Lonchura striata: one gene and its partners. The protein of the gene in region 1 interacts with the protein of each later gene in a pairwise test. Links are inferred from orthologs where the notes say so. Each region holds a gene or a part of one and is shown on either strand. Other genes may lie near its edges. The genes, in order: RBPMS, QKI and MGAT5B.

Region 1 (7,704 bases):
CAAGGAAGCCTCCGAAATTCAGCCCCACAGAGGAAGGGCTTCTCTTCTTTAATGACTTTGTTTTCTTTGCAAGTTCAAACGCGGGTCGGCCAAGTTCGAATCCGTAAAATTATACAGCGGCAAGAGGAGAAGGGCTCCAAAGGATCCCCCAGCTGCATTCCAGCCCCAAAAGGGTTTTTGGGGCCCAGGGCAAGGGATGGATACGAGCTCCTGGGTGCTCCCCATCTGCATCCCGCAAATGCACACAGCCCCAGGGATGCTGGAGTAGGTCCTATATAATCAGCATCCTTTCACTGGGTAATGAGCCAGTGGGACTGGCAGAGCAAGGGAGCATCCTTGGGGATAATCCCAGCAGGCTGGACAGATTTTGCCAAGGGAAAGATTCTAGACAGAAATATTACTCCTGCCCTTAAATGGAAGGGGAGCTTTGGCCCGCAGGGAGCTGCTCCAGGTTTTTTTGTGCTGAGAGATCCCAGGGATTCAGTCCCCATCCTCTACCAGAAACACTCCTAGAGCAAAATCCTTCCCTGAAGCAGGAAAAACGAAAAGCATTATCAGAAAAATTTCAGGCAGCAGGCACATATATGTTCTCCCATAGGGAAGAATTACTCCTTCAGAGAGTTGGATAAGGCACAACGCCTACTCCCAAGGATGTCATGGGACAGGGCCAGACTGACAGCTCTCGAGCAAGGATTAAAGGGCGCTGGAGCATGGGATTCCCCCAGCTTAAACCCCACAGTCTTTTTGGACATCCTGAGCTGTTTCAGTTCTGCTGTACAAACATCTTTCAGTTTCTATTTGGTGGAGCATTTCTCCGTTTCTCCTTCTCCCTTAAATTTGGGATGAAACCAAAGACTTTTTTAAAAGCCATAAGTGCCAATATTTGCTCCAGGAGGAGCTCAAAGGTGACCACCTTGACTTCCTTCCATGGGGATGGCAGCTATGGGAATGCTCCAAGTCCCTTTTCCATAGTCCTCCTGGGCTCCTGCTGCTGCACCCCACAGCTCCCAGATTTGCCAGGGTTCCTGGATCCTACATGTATTGCCTCACTTCTGATGTGTCCCCTCCTGGCTTTTGTTTTCGCTGCAGGAAGTCTGCTCTTCTGTGCTACTCTCCTCTTCCCTGGAAATCATCACCATCCCCCTTCTGGCCTGTCCCACTCACCTTTGCATCCCACCATCCCAGTCTTTTGTCCCTGAAATCCTGCATCTTGTCTTGGGCCAGTTTAAGGGATACTGGAAAGGCTCTGTGGAGGTTTGCCGAGATGGTCAGTGCTGAGGACATGCCAGGAGAGGCAAAGATCTGGGCCAGGAGGTGACCGGGGTTTCCAGAGCATGGATCAAGGATGACCCCAGCATGGAGAGGTCCGTGATGGAAGCCCTCCTCCTCCTCTTCCTCACATGAAGCCACAAGCTTACCAGGTTTGTCTCCTGCAGGTAAGGAGGTACCGGGGGGGCATTTGCTTGGCTTGGACCCCCATCACACGGCAGTGCCCGGAGGGATGCCGGGTGCCCCAGTGGCAGTGTCCTGCCAGCATGGTCCCGGTCCTCTGTCCTGTCCTGTCCCGCCCTGTCCTGCCCAAACCACCCCCGGTAAACGTTAAACAGGCCCTGGGAAGGCGGGAGGCGTCCGGGTGATTCATCCACGAGGCATTTAATCGCCTCCTTCAGCCCAGCTCCCATCCCTCGTCCGTCCTTCCGTGCGCCCCTTCCAGCGGGGCTCGCTTTAATTCTCCACCAGCCGATTATCCGCTTGACTGCCCGCCGCCGGGGAGGCACCGGATCCCGGCGGCAGCGGGAGGGCGATGGCACGGGGCTGCCACCGAGCCGTGCAACCCTCCGTGTGAGCAGGGCTTCCCCTCCCGTTCCCGGCAAAGCGGGGTGCATCCCCACCCCGCCGGGATTAGTCCAGGCATAAATAATCTCTTGGCTAATGCAGCGTCTTCCTCGGCTGGGTTTAGATTCCCGGGCTGTGTGTACGCATGCCTTCAGCCCGCAAAACTCCCCGACATAAACAAGGCTGAGGCCGAGGGATGCCGGCTTCTCCGCCCGGGAGATACGGGAGGACCGGGCTAGATCTCCGGCCTCGCCACCCGCAGCCGCTCTGCTGGAAAATCACGGTTCTCGCACGTCCGGTGAAGGACGGGAGGAGAGGAACAGCCCTTGGGGAAAAGCGAGTCCAGAGCTGCCGGGGCTGGAACGAGGAAGCGGCAGAGGAAAAGGCAGTGAGCAGCCAAGGGAGCAGATGGGGGATTGCAACAGAGCGGAGGAGCGGCGGGATCAGGCGCGGGTCACACTCGTCCCTGTCCCGCCTGGAGCTTGCTCCCAAACCCTCCGGACCCCACGCTTCAAGGAGGAAAGGAAGCAGGAGCGCGGGGGGATGCAACGCAGGGGCCACGGGGACAGATTTTATCCACTCGCTGGACACGTTCCCCCTAGAAAGCATCCCTGGGGTCCCCTCCCCATGGCACGGCTCCCCCGGGATGAGGGATCTGGCATGGGATGGGGACGAGGGCCACGAGCCGGGCTCTCCGCAGCCACTCCGCTACCAAATAAGGCCTCCGCCGAGCCTTTTACATGCCGTTCTCGCCCGGCCAAAGTGACGTGACCGCCTTCCCAAATTGTTCTGGCTCCTACGTGGGGAAGCCCCTGGCCCACAGCTCCCCTGCACGGGGGGTGTCCTTCCCGGGGGGGACAGGCGAGAGGGACGGGGAAGCCACCCGGGCGCCAGGAGCAGGCGGGAGGAGCGGGCATGAAGCGGGGGCTTTTCCCACCTGGCAGCACCCCGACTGACCTCCCCGGCATGGGGGCTGCTTCTCCCTCTTTTCTGAGGGAACAGGAGGCTGCAGGCAAGCCCTGGGAGTGGGGAGGTGAGGCACCACAGTAGCTGAGTAACCCCTTTCCCTGCGCTTGAGCAAATAGACAGCACCGGCTTCTCCAGCCTGGGCTGGAACAAGTCCTGCCAGGAAAATACCTGCCTGGCACCGGAGCAGCGCGGCTTGCAGGCAGGAGCGGGCATCGCCCTCCTCGTGTGTCCTCGGCTCTGTGCGTGTCCCTGGCACCTCCCAGCCGTCCCGTCCGGGTGTTCCCCATGTCCGGCATCACCGGGTCAGGGGGTTCCCCTGGGCGACAGTCAGCCCCCGGCCCTGCGGATCTGGCCGGGAGCAGAGCGAGGGCTGCCTTTTGCCGGCATGGGTTTGGAAAAGGCCATGCTTTTGGAAAAGGCAACAGGCCTCCATGGGTGTCACCCATGCCATGCCCACCAGAGCCGCAGCATCATCTCCCACACAGTCCGCCAGGCCACCAGTGGAAAAAAACTCCACGTTTTTTAGGAAACTTTGGGAAGTTTGAAGCCAGAACCACCTCTGGAATAAGCAAATGAAGGCAGGCGGCAGCGGGCGATGGAACTGCGGTGATTGATCCCAGCGTTGGCCACCAACCAGGGAGCCCAGCAGGGACCTGCTGGAGCAGCCCAGCCGGGTGGAGGGTAAGGAGGAGGAGATCTCCGATCGGAATCTTCCCGCTCTCACCCTGGCAAAGTCCAAATTCCCATCTCAAGGTCACGGGCAAAACCAGGAACTTTGCGGCTGGAATGAAGCAAACCAGCACTCACCGTGACGGGGTGTGGGGTTGGTCTCCCGTGGGGATGGGAGCGTTTCGGATATTTTTGGGGTGAGACTCATGGGAAAGAGATTCACAGCCGCTGGATGCACAGTACCCACGGGCACCGGCAGCACCAGGCACCGGCAGCGGGACCGGGGAGTGCCTGATTTATCCCTCACGCCCCCCGGGGCGATCCGTGTCACGCGTGGGGCTCCCCGCGCCCGCAGGTTTCCTCCGGCGAGGCGGAGGGGCGTTTGCGGCGAGCCCCAGGGGGATGCCGGCGGTGAACGGGAGAGTCCCGGGGAGCGGGGATGCGCTCCCGCCGCTCGTCCCTGTCCCCCCCGCAGCAGCCCCGGGTACCGGGAGCCCGGTGCGTGAGCACCCGCGGAGCGCAGCTCCCGGGGATCGCGGGTGGGGAGGGGGAAGCCGGAGCCCCTCCGCCCCAAATCCCCGGTGCGTGTCCCCCCCGGTACCTCTTCCTCGGGCAGGCTGGTGTCGGCGGGGCCGCCCTCCCTGTCGGCGGGGACGCTGCTCATGGTGCGACCGGCCAGGCTCCTCGTCCCGCCGGCGGCAGCCGCGTCCGGGCGGGCGGTGCTGGGGGCTGGTCCCGGCGGCGGCGGGGGGGCCGGGGCGGGGCGGCGCGGCCGGGGAGGGACGGGGCGGGGGCGCGGCGGAGCGGCGGGGACGGACCGGGCCGCGGGGGGATGGAGGAGCGCCGGGATACGGGAGGTGGGCGATGCGAACGCGGGACACAGGGCTAGGGACATGGGACACAGTGCCATGTGGGGCCACAGGACACGGAGTTGGGAATTCAGGGCAGTCCTGGAGACATAGAAGACAGTCTAGGACGTAGGGGATACCGGATACAAGGCTGGGGACATGGGGCACAAGAATGGGGAGATGGACACAGTCTCAGGGACATGGGACACGGGCTGGGGGTGTAGGACAGGGCTGGGCAGACGGGACACAGTCCTGGGGACACGGGACAAGGCTGGGGACACAGGACGCAAGGTTAAGGATACAGGACAGCACGTTGGGGACATGGTGCACAGACCCAGGGACATGAACGTGTTACGGCTGTGGGGCAGAGGAGGGGACCCGGTGCAGGGCTGGGGGCAGTGGAAGGACCAGCGGGAGCTCATCACCCCAACCGGCCCCACCTGGGGGCTCAACCCCTCCCTGCCCAGCCCGGGGACTGCACTTAGGCTTCATGCTTAGGCTAGGCTTTTGCTGAGCCTGCGCTGGACCTGGCATCGTGTACGCTTCGTTCTAGAGCTCGGTGTTGGGTCGTTCCAGCCCTGCAGAGCCCCGGGGAGGCGGCTGTGACCCTCGGGGTGGAGAGCAGCAGCTGTGTCAGCCCAGGTGCTGCCCGGGCACAGCGCTCGGCCGGAGGTGACGCCGAGGACATCCTGCCCGGGGCACAGGGCTCCTTCCCAACGGGCCCTTAAGGTCACCGCCTGCCTTTCTGCGCCTCACCAGCCGAAACAGACCTGGGGGCAGGTGCCCGTCTGTCCTGCCGGCTGCCCAGGGGACACAGCCTGGCCACCCACAGGTTTGCATCATCCCCGCGGCAGCGATTCAAAGGACAGAAGGAGGTGAAAATGAGCTGTGCCAGCTGGATTTGGGGAAGCGGGAAGTGTCTGGCTACAAGGCAGCTGAGCCTAGAGGGAATCTAGAGCACAGGGACTGATCTAGTCACCCAAATCTGCTGGAACCTCTGGCTTTTGGGGTAGATTTTCAGCAGGGGGGAAATTTAGAGATGTGTTTTATCTCTTTGTTTTCCCCATCCACAGGCATCTAGACAAAAATCTCTGCTTGGACAGTGCACGGGACAATACTCACAACCCTTATTTGGACTCAGCTCTGGGGAAGAGCTGCAGCTGCCCAGCAGCGCTGGAACCCAGGTTGGAATCACAAATCAGAAAAAGGGGAGGTTTGGATTTTTTGTAGCCATGAAGCTGGACTTGGGGAGAAAATCCAATTTGCTCCAGCAGATATTGCCCCGCTTCCCTGCCTTGAACCCCCCGACCTGAACCCAAAGCCTCATGTCCCACAGAAGTCTGGGTTTCTCTGTGTTAGCTGCTGATCCTATCCCCTCTTCCCTACAGGAATTTCTGCTGCATGGATGTCCACCTGTGTTTCCCACCCCGGGGCCCGCGTGGATCCGGGACGCGGGGCCGGGACCCCCGGGGAGCGCGGGGTCACACCGCCCCCTGCCGGCGCGACGGGGCGGCGCGGGGAGGTGGCACCGGGCTGTCCCCGGCGGTGACACCCGCCCCGACAGCGCCCGTGCGACCCGGGCACCGCACCCCGCACACTCAAAGGGCTGCGGTTCCCTCGGACAGCAGAACTGGAGGCATTTTATTCCCGAAAAAAAGCACAAACAATAGAGCTAACGCGTGAGCGACGACAGACTCGAAGCAGGTCTGAGAATCCCAGTGGAAGAAAAAGAAATGACACAAACAAGGAAGAAATGGTTTGATGGAATGAGGGATGTGGCGACCGGACTCTTCCCGGAGTGTGTAGTGCTTCCCAGGACCAAACACCCAGCTGGGCACGGGCAGCATGAGGTGAGTGCTCAGCTCTTGACAGGGGTGGACGCGGCCTTCATGGTCTTCTTCAGGTGGTGGTAGTTGGGCAGGATCTTCATCAGGAAATCCAGCTGCAGCGTCTGGGGCTGGAAAGGGAGGCAGGGGAGGTGAGGGAACAGCCAGAGGGTAGCAGGCCGAGGGGACAGGAGGTGGCAGCGTGTCCCCACGCACCTGTGGCCGCTCGGTCTGCACGCGCCGCAGGCAGTCGGCCCCGTAGATGACGGTGTTCTCCGGGATCACCTCGTAGGTGTTCACGTTGCAGCAGGCCCCGATGATGCAGCCGCTCGTCAGGATCACGTTCCTGCCAACAAACGCTGCCAGGGAGAAGGGAGAGAGAGGAGTCCCTGTGAGAGCTGTTCCCACAGCATTTATAGGAGAAGAATCTCAGCAGGGCCAAAGGCCCCAAGCTGAGAATTACCTTTGGATTCAATGACGTTGTTGTCTCCTACCTTCATCGCTTGGGAATCTACAGGTCTGTGTTAAGTAAAACTGTAAAATGCTTTGCTTATTTTCAGCAGATGAAAAACCCTGATGCCATTTTCAAACCACCACCCAGCCCTGAGCTATCTGAACCCTGACAGATCCCCAGAGATGCCTCCCCCTGGAGGGATCCAGAAGCACAGTGTGCTGGATGGTTTGTCACTGCACAGCGAGGATACAGCACCCGACCTCAAAAACATTGTTGGTGCCAATGACCATGGGCTTGGGCTCCACATCTTCGCTCTCTGGGGTTATATTTTCTGGGTACCTGCAAGAGGGAAGAACAGATTTCCACATCTGAGATCATGATGACAGTGCTCTGTGGGGCAGCTCAACTTCGTGACAGACTGAAGCCACAAATATCCCATCCAGCTGAGCTGGACTGTCAGAAATTTGAGACTGCTTAGGATTAGGATTCTTCTACTCTGTCAGCTTGAGAAGAATTCAGAAGGGGGACTTAGCATCCAGTATCTGAAGGGGGCCCGCAAGGAAGCTGGAGATGGACTCTATCAGGAACTGGAGTGACAGAACAAGGAGTAATGGGCACACACTTAAAAAGGGGGAAATTAGGTTAGATATACATAAGAAAATTTTTACTGTGATGGGGTGAGATACTGGAATAGGTTGCCCAAGGTAACACTTGCTGCATCAACCCTGGAGGTGTCCAAGGCCAGGTTGGACAGGGTTTGGAGCAACCTGGGATAGTGGAAGGTGTCCCTGCCTATGGCAGGGGGGTGGCATGAAATGATATTTAAGGTCCCTTCAAACAATGAACATTTGTGATTCTGTGGCTTCTCCCCAAGCCATAGTGCCACACAAAAGCACGAAGTTTGGTGGTTTCCTTTTTAATAAACTCCACCTCCCCAGGGTTTTTAAACCCCCACCGGGTGTCCCACGGACCCGTTGATGATGAGCGCCTGCTCCTCGATCAGGTTCCCCTCTCCGATGACGATGGGCCCCGCCTCGGCGATGATGCGGGCCTTGGGATGGATCACGGTGCGGGGCCCTGCGGGGACAGCCCGGCGTCACCC
Region 2 (7,704 bases), on another chromosome or scaffold:
ATGCCAAAAAATAACCAAACACCCACACCTCAAAATAGCTCTTACAAGGTTTCTGAACACAAGTTCTAGAAGCATTACAACAGTCATAAATCAGAAAAACACCTCAGACCATTAAGTTTTAAGAGATAATTAAAGAACCAAACTCAAAAGAGTACTAATGATAAACAGCACACAAACAATACTCAATGCTCTTGTGGCACACTACTTTGACAATTTTAACATTAATACACCAAGTTTAAAAATTAGTCTGAGACGCTCTGGGCAAACACCTTTTGTAAGGCCTTTATCCCAAAGAACACTCATCCCTGAATATTGCATTAAGAAGCATATTTTTTAATGAATTAATGGGGTCCATTGCAAGATCTGATACAAGTGAAAAATCTGACAGGCTAACGTGGCCAGTGCCCCTCCATCAAATCTGAAAAATCAGCAAAATCCTAGCTAAGCACAGGCTACATGTACATAATCACAAATAATACGGTTATGTACAAAAGTAACTACATAACTTCAGAGGGAACATAGTTCTTCAGCCCTACTTCTCATGCACATGTTTTGCTTAGTACAACCAGACCGATGCAAAAGCTGCACTCCTGGGCACTAAGCTCCCCAATTTCACGTGCACTTTTCTCGATGAGAAAACTAAACAGAGAGAGTAACATTCACCAAAAATTTATCCTCATATTGCCTACCTGGATGTTATTACGCTAGCTTTGTTAAACTTGGTAGACAGAAAGAGGAAGCCTATTTGACACAAAATTAGATTTATCTCCAATAGCCAGATGCATGGTTAAATTTACATTTAAAGGCAGACATGCATTTAAGTCACCTTCAACACAGTTTTGAAGGAAAGACTAAGTTTTTCAGGGATAGGTTACTAAGAAAAAATTAATTTCTGATAAAGTCCTCTTCAATCTCTTTTTGAAAACAGTTCAGACCACAGGTCTGATCTGTGTACATTCTGATCAGGTGCAAGAGTCTGTGCACTTACAGGTTCAAGAAAACAAAATGTAAATTTATAAATTAGACTACTCAGATCTCAGTTAATAGTTCAGGCACATTTGTTCATAGTCTGATGAAAGAATACAACTGAAGTACCTCATTAATTTAAATCTGTCAACATGCTACTGAAGTGTTTGAAATGTCCAATTCAGTTTTTAAAAACAGTGCAAGAAAACAGGTACTGCTCTTTTCACTGTTCACGACAGGGAGCATTAAAATATGTAAGTTGTCAGAAAAGAAAATCCAGGTTAGCATCATAAAAGTTAGTATCTCAAAAACTTAAGCAAAAAAAAAAAAATTAAAAAAAAAAAAAAACAGGTCACATTTGATGGAGCAAACAATTACAGGAAATACAGCCTATTCCACATTCAGGAAAAGCCCTCTCTTCCCACAGGTTTGCACCAGTCTGATAAAAACAATTCAGCTTCCTAGTTATTATGATGTGCTCTTTAAACATCCTTGTTAATCCACAGAAGGCTTATTTACACATAACAAGTTAAAAGCACACATATGGAAAAATAAATGTAACCTAAACAAAACAGCAACTTTCACATTTTATGAAAGTAGTTCTTAAAAAAAAAAAATGTTTCCTCAATGCATTTCTTACATTTAAGGTAGTCTTCAAGACAGAGATCATCTATCAAGCACTAAAATTTTCTGAGATCAAAAAGTCAGATAGAGTTCAGAAAGGAAAACATGCTTTCGATAATACATGCAGCATAGCAATGGACCCAAAAATCTGTAACTTAACCAGATTGGATGTACTATTCACCTAAAACCACAGGTCTCTTTCTATCTCTTGCTGCATACAATTACAAGACGTAACCACAGCAAAAGCCCATTTGAGTTCTGTTTTTAAATATAAAACGTGTAACATGTAAATAAGTATCATGGAACAATAAATAAGTAATAATAAAAAAACTACCCTAGCATTCCATTAGGGAAGGCAATCCTAACTTTTATTTGTTTGAATTCTTAGGCTTGTGACTTTATTTCTTTATTTTGATCAGCACACAAAATAAAAGACAATGGCTGATCATAATATTTTCTTCTCAAGCATAAACAAAACCTTTAGGAAAATAGTTGTATTATAACTAAAAAAAACCCAAAAACAAACACCTACCTAAAGCACACAACAACAAACTAGAAGCAGCAAATCAAATGACAGGGTGGAGGGGGCAAAGAGGGAATGTGAACCCTGTAACTTTATTTTTAGATTATATATACCTATATATACATGCACTTGCCCCAAATACTTGGTATTCTCAAGGGTGCCAGGAAACAACTGATGAAACCTTGAAATAATACACTTTCCAGTAAGCACATGAAATCCTGCAGACTTTTCCAGCAAACCTGTAGTTCACTATTACTAAACCCTTCTGCTGGAGGATGTCAGTGGAGCATGCAGTTCAAGATATTTAACACAGCCCCCACTGGTAGCCAGGATAGGTGTTCTACAGAGAAACACTTGTTCCAACTTCTCAACTGTTCACTGCTACTGCCTATTCCACCTATGTAATACTGCCTGTAAGTATACAATACGTCAAGGTACATGCAAATACAGATACCTGCACAAATCCACAAGTATTTTGTCATTCTTTGGCGTCTTCTACCAGATTTGATAATTTTACTGCCCGAGTCAATAGTGGTGCTCGCGGACTCACGCCTCAGAAAAAAAAATAACTGGCGCCCCTTAGTGTTCAAATTCTGAAGTCTTGAAGTAATTTACTAGATTTGCATGAAACTTTTTTTTCAACATTCCAAAAAGTTTTCTGCCTCCACAATACTTCCACCCATTTGCCAACGTAAACAGGAAAAGCAGAAAAGCTTAAAGGGATAGCAGGCTTCTTCCAGAGACCATTTAGGATCACAGATTATATTTTATTTGCTTTTCTTTAGAAGAAGAGAGTGAAGAACAGTTCCAACACAGTCCTTAAACTTTGTCAGCAAGAGACACAAAAGCTCTCATTTTGGAACTCCAATACTTTGCAAACAGACTTCCAGAGTTTTCCGTATTTCAAAATATATAACAAGATATAAGTATTTCTGGAATTCCTTTTTTCAGTGGTTTTTTTTTTTTTTGTGTCGGGAAATGTTTTTCTTCCTTTTGTTCTCTGAAAATAAAAAAACAGCTTCAGGCCTCCTCTGGTCAAATACATTAAGTTGAAAAGATTCACAATTTAAAAATCCATTACCAAACCTCTGGAAGGCTCATTTGTGCTATAAAGGAGTCTTCTCGGTCAAGTTTCTTCTTGATGTTTATTGTCAATCTAACTATTCTGAAGAGGTTGTTCACTGTGGTGACCAAGAGCGTAAGTTCTAAAATAGTTTTGCTCTTCACATCCACATTTGATCCAATATAAAATCAAACTCCTCCAAGTATCTTGAAAATAAAAATAGACTCTCCCATTTTAATGCTTCCCACAATCCGTATTAGAGTGTTCTTCATCGTTTTTTTGGGTTCCTTTACATTCCTCTATCATTTATTTCAGAAGGTAGCATTTTCTCGACACGCTATTTTTGTGTCGCACTACAGTCGCTATCTCATTTTTGCAGTCTTGGCAGAGGGCGGGGAGTTGTTCTACCAAATATAACCAGTTCTTTCATCTTCCGAGGTCAACAACTTCCCAAACTTCTTTTAGCGAAAATGAATACATCCGCAAACAAGAACCCTAACTCAAAATCTCGAAAATCAGTACTTCATACTAAGAATCCCTACAAGTTGAAACTGTATAAATTATTTATGGCCATATCATATTCTACAAAGCTATCAAATACGATTAAACAAACAGGTCTGCTGTAATGCACTAAATAGTTATTATACGCAGGTCGAAGTCATCAGAAAGCCTAGATTTAAAGTCATAGGAAAGGAAATGCCTTCGACAAAAAAAAACAAACCCGTGAACTCGAGTACAAGGTGAATTTAAAATACTACGAACAAGTGTTTCACCTGATTTTTGATACACAGTGGGTCTGTTACTGTAGTGGGAAAACGTGTGGGACACAGGAAGTTCCCAGCTCGTACTTTTCTTATTCATTTCTAAAGCGTGACTATTTATTTGTGAAATCTTAACCCCAAACAAAGTTATTAGGGAAAAACTGGGGGCATAGGGGGGGCCTCGCCCCGTGCCAGGAGCGGGTGCGAGGCTGGGGTGGACGTTTGGCAGGAGCAGACCAGGCAATTTCGTAATCCTTTTTGTTTCTCCCTCTTCACTAAAGTCACACGTAGGAAGGAGTCTGTCAAGTTCAGTTTCTTTAAAAGGTAAGGATAGCCGAGAGAAGAATTTACTCGCTTCCCTTGCGATATAGGAAAATCGTAATTAGTTTGCGGCCAGTTCGGGGTGGGGTAGATCTGGAGCCGAAGAAAGAGCTCAGCCCCCCTCCGCCTTAGTCATTCAAGTCCAAGCAGCTTCCAGAACAGCCAAATCTCGAAACCGAACACCCGCCGCCCCCCCGGCGGGGGCCCCGGGGCCGGGCGGCGGAGCGCTCCGAGGGCGCCGGCAGGACCCCAGTGTCCCCCGCCGCCGCGGGAGGGAGGGATGCAGGGAGGGGAGCGCCAGCCGCCAGCCAGCCTTTCCCCTCCTCCCTGCCTTCCCCCAGAGCGCATTCCTGAGCTCCTCTCCTCGCTCCCTCCCCTCCGCGCCGTAGTTACCCTTCCCCCGGTTTAAGGGGATAGTGAGGAAAAGGGTAAAAAGAAAAAAAAGGAAAAATAAGGGGAAAAGCGCTCCTGGGGGATCGGGGACCCGCGCGGCCGGGGCTGCCTCTCCCCTCCCACTCGCTCCCCGAGTCCCCCGGCACCGCGCGGCGGCGGCCAGGGCGGGGAGAGCCCGCACTTCCCCTTTGTTTTCGGCTCCCCAGCCGGGGCCGGGAGCGTGCGGGGAGCAGCGGGGAGAGCGGAACAGGCCCCGGCCGTCCCCGCCGCCCGGCCGGGCCGGGGCGGGGGGCCGAGCGGGATCCCCGGGCCGGGGGAGGCAGGGCAAGGCGGCGGGGCGGGGGAGGCGGCGGCCGGGCGAGGGCTTTTACCTTCGTCCAGCAGCCTCTCGAGGTGGTTGAAGATCCCGCAGAAGTTGGGGAGGCTGCTCATCAGCTTCTTGTCGTTCATCAGCTGCATCAGGTAATCGGGGCTCGGCTTCGGCTTCTCCTTGGTTTCCATTTCCCCAACCATATTCCAAGCCCGCGCAGAGACGGCGAGCGCCCGCAGCAGCTCTGCCGAGCAACGCGACCGCGGCACGGGGCGCCCGGCTGGATCCGGGCGGGCAGGGAGGCGGTGGGGGAGGGGAGGGGGCGGGGAGGGGAGCTTCCCCGAGGAAGGAGGAGAAGGAGGAGGATTCAAATCCGGAGACAAACGCAGACCCGCCGCTGAGTCCCAGGGACCGAGAAGGGAAAAAAAAAAAAAAAAAAAAAAAAAAAAAAGGAAACTCGGTAGAAACCCCCGTGCGGGCTGCGCCCTCCTCTCCGGGCACAAGAACCCGCCGCCGCCGCCTCTCGGTGCCGCCGCCGCTCCCCTGCTCCGTGCGCCCTCGGCCGGCGCAGTCCTCGGTGTGTCCCCCCTCCTCCTCCTCCTCCTCCCGCGCACACACACGCCGAGCCCGGTTCTCCTCTCGGCGCTGCCCCCTGTCTCCGCGGCGGGGGAGGGAGGGAGGGGACGCGCGGGGCGGGCGGGCGCTGCTGGCGCGGCTGCCGCTTCCGAGGAGCCGCCGCCGGTGTCTCCCCGCTGTTGCCGCCGCTGCTGCTGTTGTTGCCGCCGCGCTGCGCCTGGCGTGTGTCCTCCTCCTCCTCTCCGCCTCCCGCCCGCCCGCCCTCCCGCCGCCGCTGCTGCTGCTGCTGCCGCTGCTGCCGCCGCCGCCTGTGGCTGCTGAGTCTCAGCCCCGCCGCCGCCTCCTCACTTCTCCTCAGTTCGCTCCGGAGTTCGCTTCAGTTCAGGCTGCGCTGGCAGCAGCGGCGGCGGCGGCAGGAGGGGAGGGGGCAGGGCCCACGGGGGTGGGACACGCCGGGGGCGGGACCAGAGGCGGGGCGGGCGCTGCCCGGCGGCGGCGGTAGCGCCGCTTGGCGGAGCCACAGCTGTCCCTCCCTCCCTCCTTCCCTCCCTTCCGCTCCAGGGGCCCGGGGCGGCGGCGGGGGGATAGCCGGCTTCCCGTGCGGCTCCCGCCCGGCCCCGCCGCGCGGAAACACGCGCGCGCGCGCGGAACTCTCCCAAACAAAGTCGCGTCGCGGCACCTCCGGGGCGGGGACGCGTCACGTGCACCCCGGGGGCGGGGAGAGCCGCGCCGGGGCGCGCGCGCTCTCGCCGCTGCGCGCGGCCCCGGTGTCGCGTGGCGGCGGGGCGGGGAGGGGGGCAGGTGTGCGCGGGGACCGCGGCCGCGCTTGCGGGCGGTGGGCGGCGCGGACGGCGCGAGGAGTGGCTCCCGCTCGGTCCCGGGGCCGGGCGGGGAGCGCGGAGCCCCGGAGGAGCCGCCGGAACGCCCCGGCAGCATGCCGCCGACCGGCTCCTCGCCGGGGCGAGGAGGGAGAAGCGGGGCTGCCGGGAGCCCCCGTCCGCGGGGTCCCGGGAGCGTCGGGTATCGGCGGGCGGGGTGCGGAGAGGTTCGGGGTCCGTCCGCGCTGGCGCTGCCCCGGGCGGGCAGGGCCGACCCTTTCCCCCGAGTGCGCAGCGCCTGCCCCGGCCGGCAGCCCGGGCCGGATCCCGGCCCGCTGAGCTCCTTTCCGCCCGAGCCTCTCCGGCAGGGCTGCGCGCCGCCCTTGTTGCCTGTAGGGCAGCGCCGCGTTTTGGCATCAGCCGTGGCTTGTTTGACGGGTTTGGATGGGAGACGTGACGGGAGCAGCGGTGTCCAGCAGCCAGAACCAAAATTCACGTGCTCCATCCACTGTAGCCGCAGAGGCAAAGCAGCGCGACGCTGTTGCTTGTACGTATTCCTCCTTCCCCGCGCAGCTACTCGGTGCTCTTGGTATTTAGCACTTAAGAGCTTGGAGGCAGTTCGCGGTAGCTTGGCAGTGCTGTTGTTACGAAGCTGGATGAAAATCGCTGCATTCTTCACGTAGCTCGCTGAAAACAGTCATATTTCATAGGACTAAGTATAAAGTCTAGCTATTGCTTGAAATCCGTAAAAAATTCAAATGCATTTCAATACATACTGCACGGTTTTTGAAGATACTTTCAATGTTAGGTTAATGGCAATGAACAATGCTTCCTAAACTAAAAAGAAACAGAGACACGTCATCTTGACAGGTATACAATGTCATTGGGTATTGTCAAGCAGTGTTAACTCTGCTTTTCCTGAAAGATGTGACAAAAATGTAGAGAACGTGTAGTTCTCTTAACAGTAAGAATGCCTTGAATTATTGCATTATGTCCAGTGTTCATTGTATATTCCCCCTCTATAAAGGTAGATAGAACTCTGTTTGGACATTGGAGTTTTTATGTCATTTCAGGGATTTGTTTACATTAGTAGAAATTAACAGCTTATGTAAGGTAAGTCGGTTTTACTGCTTCTATCCTTAAAAAATTGTATCTTTAGTAAGAAAATACTACCCTTGTTATCAAAGAGTAACAGTGTTACAAACCATTATTTTAAATATAGATTCTTAGTTCATCAATAGCATGCCCATAGCACACTGCAGTATGTGTATAGATAACAAAACAGTGTGGTTTGTATTTGGTAACATGATTGCATTTGCTTTATTCCAACCTTGTTTTAAGGTTGTGAC
Region 3 (7,704 bases), on another chromosome or scaffold:
GCCCAGTGCAGTGCTGGCTCTGGGAACACCCTGGAAGGGATTGCTGCACCCAGCTGGCTTTGGAGGGCTGAGTTTGCCCTTGGGGAAAGCTGTCTGCCACGGCACTTCCCTGGCAGGAGAGCACAGCAGCAGGCTGGAGAGGAAACAAGCTGAAAGGGGACAAAGCCCAGGCAGGTCCTGCACCCCAGGGTCCTCCCTGGGAGCACATCTGCTACAAAACCCACCCAAGGCCCCATCCTGGTACCCCCTCCCCCAAGGGGCACTTTAACAAAGCATCACCTGAATAAATACTCGGCCCTGATCCTGCTCTCACACCTCCTATTGACAATATCTTCATCATTATGCAAGACCTTGTTGACGCTTTTTAATCTTCATAATTATAGTCTGGCAAGGAGGGATCGTTAAGCACTGAGCAGAAAGAAAAAGGGGAAGGGAAGAAAAAAGATACAAAGGTGATCTGTGCTCTACCATCTCCCTAGGAAACAAAACCTTTTTCATTTTGACTGGATTACAGAGAGAGTAGGGGAGATGCAAGATGCTTTTTTCCTAAAAAAAAAAGAATAATAAAAAAAAAGATGAATTGGAGCCTTACTGGAATTGCTGTCTTTGGGGGATCAGTGGATCCAGCCCAGAGCAGTGCTCCAGGGAGCAGGGATGGTGCAGGGCTGGACTCTCAGCCTGAGAACCCCAACTCCCTTACTTTTGCTGATGTTCTCCAGGTGAATAAAAGTGCCTGGCCCAGACTCACCTGAGTGGAAACTCCTTATACAGAAAATAAATTTACCACAAAGTAGGTAAAACATAACAGATCCCAGATGGTCCTCTCTCCCAAAATCAAACCTAACTCCCTGAAGACTCTGGAGTTCCAAGGACCAAATAACACCTATCCTGCATACTGGCTTTGCCTGTCATCCCATGTCATGTTTAATTAATCACTCGGACACAGTTCTGGTGTCAAGTCCCTCTCCACATCCTCCCCAAACTGAAATGTTCATAGTTCTGGGCTCTGGCTTGGTGCCCAAAAGAAAAAAAAAAGTGAAATTCCTCAAGTCTTAAATGAAAATTGGAAGTGATGCCCCAGTCATGGAGGATTTTGGCCCGTGGAACTGAAAGCTGGATGTGACCAGGAGGGTCTGAGTGCTGAGCTGGCATGTGGTGGGGGGAGGAAGGCCAGCAGCACCCAGCAGGATGGGACTGTGACACTGGGAATGTGACACTGGGACTGTGCCCATGGTGTCACATCACCCAGCTGGGACCCACAGGGAGAATCCCACCCAGGTGAGGGGGGGAAACCAAGAGCCAGGTAACATCTTTTATCAGACAAATCTTCAACTCCCAAAAGCTGAGCCACCATTCCTACCAGCAGAGGTCATGTTAATGAACGACTCCTCTCCTTAAATCCCTTTTTGCTTAGAGCCCCACAGGGCTGTGGTGCTGTCAGACCGGTGCTGAGCCACGGGCACTGTGATCCATGCAGGGACCAGAGTGAACTCTCACTGACCTCTGTTACATCCCACAGAAAGCCTGGCTTTGGCTCCCAGCTGGCAAACACACCCACAGAGCCCAGAGCTGGGCGAGCTGGAGCAGGGCTCCTCGGTGAATTCTTGCCTGCATCCAGCACCACGGCAAGCGAGACACTCTTTGCTGCTGGGATGAAGTCAGAGCCGCCCTTGGACATTCCTGTGCTTTTCCAGACCGATCTGCTCCCTCTCTGCAGCCTCCCTCCCAGCTCAGGGCCCTGCATTGCTTTGCTCAGCGTGTCTGGAGGGTGGTTAATGAAATGTTTTGGTGCACAGGATCAGGTTTCCTGTGTGCTGTTTGCTGATGGCACCTCACCTCTGATGGCAGCAATCCACATCAGGCAGGGATCGCACCACGGGCAGCGAGGCTTTGCCCAGCCAGCAGCAGGGGAGGATTTACAGGACCCAGCCTGAGTGCCAGGACCTTCTCCCACTGCTGGAGTTATCCCTGACCCACAGCAGCCGAGGATGCGGGGTGCTGATGCTGGGGGAGAAGAGGTGATTTGCACTGGGTTAAGGCTGGAGCTGGGCAGTGCCAGCACTCACCCACGCAGGGCTGGCAGCAAGGTGACACAGGACTGTGGCATGGGGGGTCACATGCAGCATGACAGCAGCAGGGAGGAGGTGCAGAGGTCCTGGACACTGTGGGACAGTAAGGAAAGGGTCTTGGGAATTCCTCCTCTTGCAGAGAGAGCCTGGCTGTTAACAACGAGGTAACCCTGCTGGTTCCAGTGGCACCAATACTGGTCTGGACTGGTTGGACAGCAGAAGCCAGCCCAGGGCACACGGCCAGGACAGTGCAAGTTCTCCACCTGGACTCCAGAGACCATCCAGCCATCACAAACCCCTCATCCACACACATCCCCATCCCTAATGGGAGTTTGTGATCACCCTGTGCTCTCCCACCCTGACTCCAGGTCACTGCTGGACACGGGGCTCCCCTGCCTCAGGGGTGATGCCCAGGGCACAGGGATGCTCCAGCCAGTCGCTTCCTCACTGTGCAATTCAAAGCCAGTGAAGAGAGCAAACAGCCAGGCAAAGAGCATTCCCCGGGTGAGTGCGCCCTTCTCGCGTCCCTCGCATCACTCCCTGCTCCACTCCTGAGCTCTGGGAGCCCTCACACCTCTGCCAGCGCTTTGTGGCATCCCCTCGGCCAAGTTCCCCAGCCGCAGGCAGCAGAAATCGCTCCAGGCAAGCAGAGGCAAGCAGCTCCCGAGGAGAGGCAGACAAGCTGCCCACACCTGAGAGCGAGCGAGCGGCGCAAACCCAGCCGGGGGTAGCCCGGGCTAAGCAAAAAGGCAGCGAGCAGATCCCTGCGGTGACCCCAGAGCTCCAAACACAGCGAGGAGCGCTGGAAACCGCTGGGCTGGGCTCGCCCCACCTTGAGCTCCGTCCCCCGGCACGTTCGCCTCTATCTCTAAGGGGTTTTGGTCCCTCTCCCCACGGAAAAACCAGGTAACTTCCAACATCTCCCGTGTGTCTCAAGCTCGGGAGCAACAGAAGCTCATCTCCAGTAAATCAAGGAAGCCGGAGAGCAGGGGCTGGAGAGGGAAGGGAATGTATGGAAGCAAAAATGGGGAGTTACAGCAAGGGGAAAAAGCAATGGGTGGGTACGGGTGTGCTGGAGCCGGAGGGGTTCAGGTTTGGACATCCACCCCAGCCCCACTGCCAGCTCAAGGTGGGTTTCGAAATCCCCAGCTGCACCAGCAGGCTTAAACCAGAGGAACCTAATTCCCCCGGAGTACCAACATCTCCTAGAACCATTCTCAAAAAATCCAGCGGCGAGCAGCCCGGCGATAACCCCAGAGACACCTCCGGCGGCGGGGCGAACCGGGAGCTGGCAGGCAGCGGGAGCTGCAGGAGCCGCACGCTGCCCCGCGGGCAGACCTGCCTGGATCCCTGTCCGGATCCCTGCTCGGATCCCTGCCTGGATCCCTGTCCGGATCCCTGCCTGGATCCCTGCTCGGATCTCTGCCCGGAACCCTGCTCGGATCCCTGCTCGGATCCCTGCCTGGATCCCTGCCTGGATCCCTGCTCGGATCCCTGCCCGGATCCCTGCCCGCATCCTGCCCGGATTGCTGTCCATATCGCTGCCCGGATCCCTGCCCAGTCCCAGACCAGTCCCTGTCCGGATCCCTGTCCGGATCCCTGCTCGGATCCCTGCCCGGTCCCTGCCCGGTCCCTGCCCTCATCCCTGCCCGGTCTCTGCCCGAATCCCCGCCCTCATCCCTGCCGGGATCTCTGCCCGGTCCCTGCCCGGTCCCTGTGCGGTCCCTGCCCAGTCCCTGCCCGGATCTCTGCCTGCATCCCTGCCGGGATCTCTGCCCGGTCCCTGCCCTCATCCCTGCCCGGTCCCTGCCCGGATCCCTGCCCAGTCCCTGCCCGGTCCCTGCCCAGTCCCTGCCCGGTCCCTGCCCTCATCCCTGCCCGTTCCCTGCCCGGTCCCTGCCCTCATCCCTGCCCGGTCCCTGCCCGGTCCCTGCCCGGATCCCTGCCCAGTCCCAGACCGGTCCCTGTCCGGATCCCTGCCCGGTCCCTGCCCAGTCCCTGCCCAGTCCCTGCCCGCATCCCTGCCCGTTCCCTGCCCGGTCCCTGCCCTCATCCCTGCCCGGTCCCTGCCCGGTCCCTGCCCAGTCCCTGCCCAGTCCCTGCCCGCATCCCTGCCCGGTCCCAGCCCGGTCCCAGCCCGGCTCGCTGCCATGCCCATCCGGGCTCCATCCGCACACCCCACACCGCACACGGAGCCCGAGCCCGGCCAGCCGCAGCCCCCGCCCGCAGCAGCCGGGCGAGGCGGCGGCGGCCAGAAGCGAGCACCAACTTTACCTAAAGGGTCTCAAGGTGACGAGGCATCTTCTGACCATTATCTTGCCATCCGCGTTGACAGTGATCATCGTTCGAAGTTGCGGGCAGGGGGCGGCCCCGCACCGCCCCAGCGGCAGCGAGGGCGGCGGCGAGCGGGGCTCGGCGGGCGGGGCGCGGGGCTGCGCGGGGCTCCGGGGGGACGCGGCCCCCCAGCCCTACCCTCGCCCCTGCCCGCTGCCGCCCCAGCCCATGGCCGGGCCCGCTCGGCTCCGCTCGGCTCCGCTCGGCTCCGCGCACCCCGCGCTGCGGCTCCGCTCCGCCCCGCGGAGCCTCCGCCGGGCTCCGCCGGGCTCCGCTTGCCATCTAGCGGCAACCCGGCCCGCAGAGGGGCGGTCGGGCAGGGGCAGGGGATGTGGGGCTGCGGCAGCCTCCCCCCGAGGTCAGGGGATGGCGTTTTGGGCAGCATCCCCGCGCAGCTGACAGCCCCGGCGTGGGCACCTCGGGAGGCAGGGATGGTCCTTTGGCGGGGCAGTCAGAGCAGAAATGCCACCGAGCGCCGTGCCCGGGTGCTGTTTGATTTGTAGGGGGTGTTTAGGAGCAGGACAAACCTCCCTAGTGGGGAAAGGCGGGTCTGGAGTCTCTCGACAGCAGCAGGATGCAGCTCTGCGGCCCCATCGCTGTTTTCTCTCTGGGTGCACGGTGACAGCCACCATGTGGCTCCCCAAAGTCCCCCCGGGTGGTGCAGGGTGCTGCCAAGAGGACCAGGGCCGTGTCCTTGGGAGGGCAAAGGGACGTGAGAGCTGAGGCAGGAGAAGCAGTGCTGAGCTCAGCAGAGGTGTTCCCGGCTCTCCTGTGGAAGGTGACAAGCACAAAAAGCCTCCCAAAAGTTGGGACTTAAAGGAGCCAAGTGTGCACAGAGCCCAGAGACGCCCCATTTCCAGCCCCAGCCAGGATGGGTGCACCCCACTGGGGGTGAGGGAAGGATGCAGCACCCTGGGGTGAGCACAGGACAACATTGTCCCCCCCCGGCCAGGCTACAGGACAGGGCCAGGCTGTGGTCTGGGGGCTGTGGTGCCAGCAGAGCCCCCTCATGCCACACTGCCCTCATGGCTGGCTGTCCCTCTTTGCTCTGGATACCACCATGGGTACCGTAAAGCACAGGGTGACACCAGGGCACAGCTGTCCCTTTGCCTTCCCCACAGTGGGATGCTCTCTTCCCATGGTTTTTCCCAGCCTTTCTCCATCCCATTTTCCTCCAGAGAGAGAAAACTCCCTCCAGCCCCACCTGCCTGGCCTGGCTTAGTGATCTGCACCTCGAGTGCTGAGCAATTCCAATGCCCTCCCAGCACCAGCCACCCACTCCTCTACAAACTGACCCTGCTTGTGCATAATCCCAGGGTTTTCCGTGGGGCTGAGGAGGTGGAAATGCTGCTGTGATACTGCATTTCCATGGCCACTCCAGATGCTCACACTGCTTCCTTCTCCCCAGTGGAAACCAGGAATGGCCTTGGTCAGCAAAGCTCCAGGGAGCATAAAGCTGCAACAGCACCAGCCACGAGTGAGCTCAGGGATAGCAGCTGGAAATTTACCCCAAACCAGATTTTTTTTCCCCCATAAAACAGCTTTTTTTTTTTTTCAAGCAGAAGTGAGAGGTAAAACCGTATTCTCCAGGACCTCTGAAACGCAGGAGGGTTTTTGTGTTCATCCACGTGTTTTGTGGGCAGGAAGGAGTCATTGCCACACCAGGGCTGGGTGGGATCCCAGCAGGATGCAGAGGGATGCACAGGCTGAGGATTTGCAGGAAGTGTGGCTCAGGAGCAGCAGCCAGCCCTGCCAAGCCAAACCCTCAGTTCATCTTGGCAAGGACACCCTTCCCTGGAGCCCATCCTGTGGGGACCTTGTGGACACAACCAGGCACGGGCAGAGCCCAGACACCAGCTGGGTGCTCAGTCCCTGCTAATTTAAGTGCAGCTGGGAGCACCTCTGGAAAAGCCACCTGGAGTTCTTCACTGCCCATTGGGCAAGGAGTGAAGTGCAGGTGCTGTGGGGATGCTGCTACCCTGATTTCCTGCCTTCTCACTCCATTCCTAGCTCCTGACAGGAATTCTCGGTGCTCACCTGAGCTATGAAACCACCTCAAAATGTGGTGCTGCCCTCCAGAGCCCGGCTCCAGCCGGCAGCAGGAGGCAGAGCCCTTCATTCCAAGAACTGCTTTCCAAATCAGCTCAGCTCTGTGGGGCTGGAAACTTTCCTAGAGCACAAAAACGCTGCATGGAGTGGGTGGTGGAGCAGCCTGGCATGTGCCAGGATCCAGATGTGCCTTCCTGAGAGCCTGGGAGGGACAGGGAACATCCCAGAGGGGACCAGAGCTGATGTGGGCTCAGTTCTGTGGGGTGGGACCCTCTGACCTCCATAAGGATAATGCCAAGGTCCTTCTGTGCATCCCACAAACTCTGGATTGTGCCAATCCAGCTCTGCCCAGCAGGAAAATCCTGGGGAGTGGTGAAGCACCACACATTAATTATTTAAGAATTAGGGGTGGGTGACACTGAGGGGAGAAGGGATGGTGTCCTCCCACTCCTCTTTCCAGAGCTGATCCTGGGCTGGAAAACACCCCCAAAGGGTTTGGATGTTTTTTGGGCAGGCAGAAGGCAGCTCAGCCATCTTGGCTTCCCCCAGGTGCCTCCTGCAGCACTGACCAGGAAATTAAAATAAAATAAAATATAAAATAAAATAAAATATAGAAATATGCTCTTGTCAATCTCCATGCAGATGCTGGCAGGGCGCTGGGTTCAGCAGGGAACAACTTCTGCAGTTCCCAGTTCCCACCGGAATCAGCCATGCAGGATCCATCACCCCAGGGATGGGAATGTGGCATTCCCCACCCCCCAGGGCCCTCATCCCTGAGGAGAAGAGCTGCAGCAGCCAGTCCTTTCCCTCTGCTGCTGCTTGAAACAAAAGCTTAATTAACTACCAGCTCACTGTCTGTTTAGAGGGATAAATCTAAAATCCAAGGATGGTAATAAAGCAGTGAATTATCTTCTTCGGCAGCTGAGAAGCAATAGCCTCAAAAATCAATATGCTGAACTTATACTGCACACACACACACACACACACACACACGCACTTTTGTTTGTTATTCCAAATTCAGCAGCAGCAGGGAATGGAGAGAACCAACTCAGCAGCCAGGTGGCCCAAAAGAAATAAGTTTGGCACCAATTAGAGCCCCTGGCCAGCCAGAGGCAGACATGCAGCATCCTCAGAGCAGGCTCCAGGCTGCTCCTCCCCTCTGCCTGTAATTGGGACAGGGCCAAAATTCCAGCTCCAACACCAGAGCATCCTCTGGGAGATGGGACTTGCCCTGCACCACTGGCCTAGTGCT

The links.
Region 2: the proteins of RBPMS (region 1) and QKI interact in binary tests that used the Homo sapiens proteins (3 or more experiments, as listed by UniProt). The link is inferred for Lonchura striata from reciprocal best matches to the Homo sapiens genes RBPMS and QKI.
Region 3: the proteins of RBPMS (region 1) and MGAT5B interact in a two-hybrid assay, tested with the Homo sapiens proteins (2 studies listed by BioGRID and IntAct). The two-hybrid records come from large-scale screens. The link is inferred for Lonchura striata from reciprocal best matches to the Homo sapiens genes RBPMS and MGAT5B.

The regions. Positions count from the first base shown.
Region 1 is NC_134606.1:72,058,025-72,065,728, reverse strand, and holds the start of RBPMS (RNA-binding protein with multiple splicing), read right to left. Parts: upstream 4,207-7,704; 5' UTR 4,139-4,206; coding exon 4,076-4,138; intron 1-4,075. Other genes in the region: DCTN6 (dynactin subunit 6), read right to left, coding at 6,181-6,279, 6,365-6,507, 6,612-6,659, 6,853-6,941, 7,574-7,679.
Region 2 is NC_134605.1:37,264,878-37,272,581, reverse strand, and holds the start of QKI (KH domain-containing RNA-binding protein QKI), read right to left. Parts: upstream 5,272-7,704; 5' UTR 5,165-5,271; coding exon 5,023-5,164; intron 4,432-5,022; exon of another isoform or gene 2,596-4,431; coding exon of another isoform or gene 2,568-2,595; intron 1-2,567. UniProt on the Homo sapiens protein: RNA reader protein, which recognizes and binds specific RNAs, thereby regulating RNA metabolic processes, such as pre-mRNA splicing, circular RNA (circRNA) formation, mRNA export, mRNA stability and/or translation.
Region 3 is NC_134621.1:3,824,156-3,831,859, forward strand, and holds the start of MGAT5B (alpha-1,6-mannosylglycoprotein 6-beta-N-acetylglucosaminyltransferase B), read right to left. Parts: upstream 4,479-7,704; 5' UTR 4,412-4,478; coding exon 4,344-4,411; intron 1-4,343. UniProt on the Homo sapiens protein: Glycosyltransferase that acts on alpha-linked mannose of N-glycans and O-mannosyl glycans.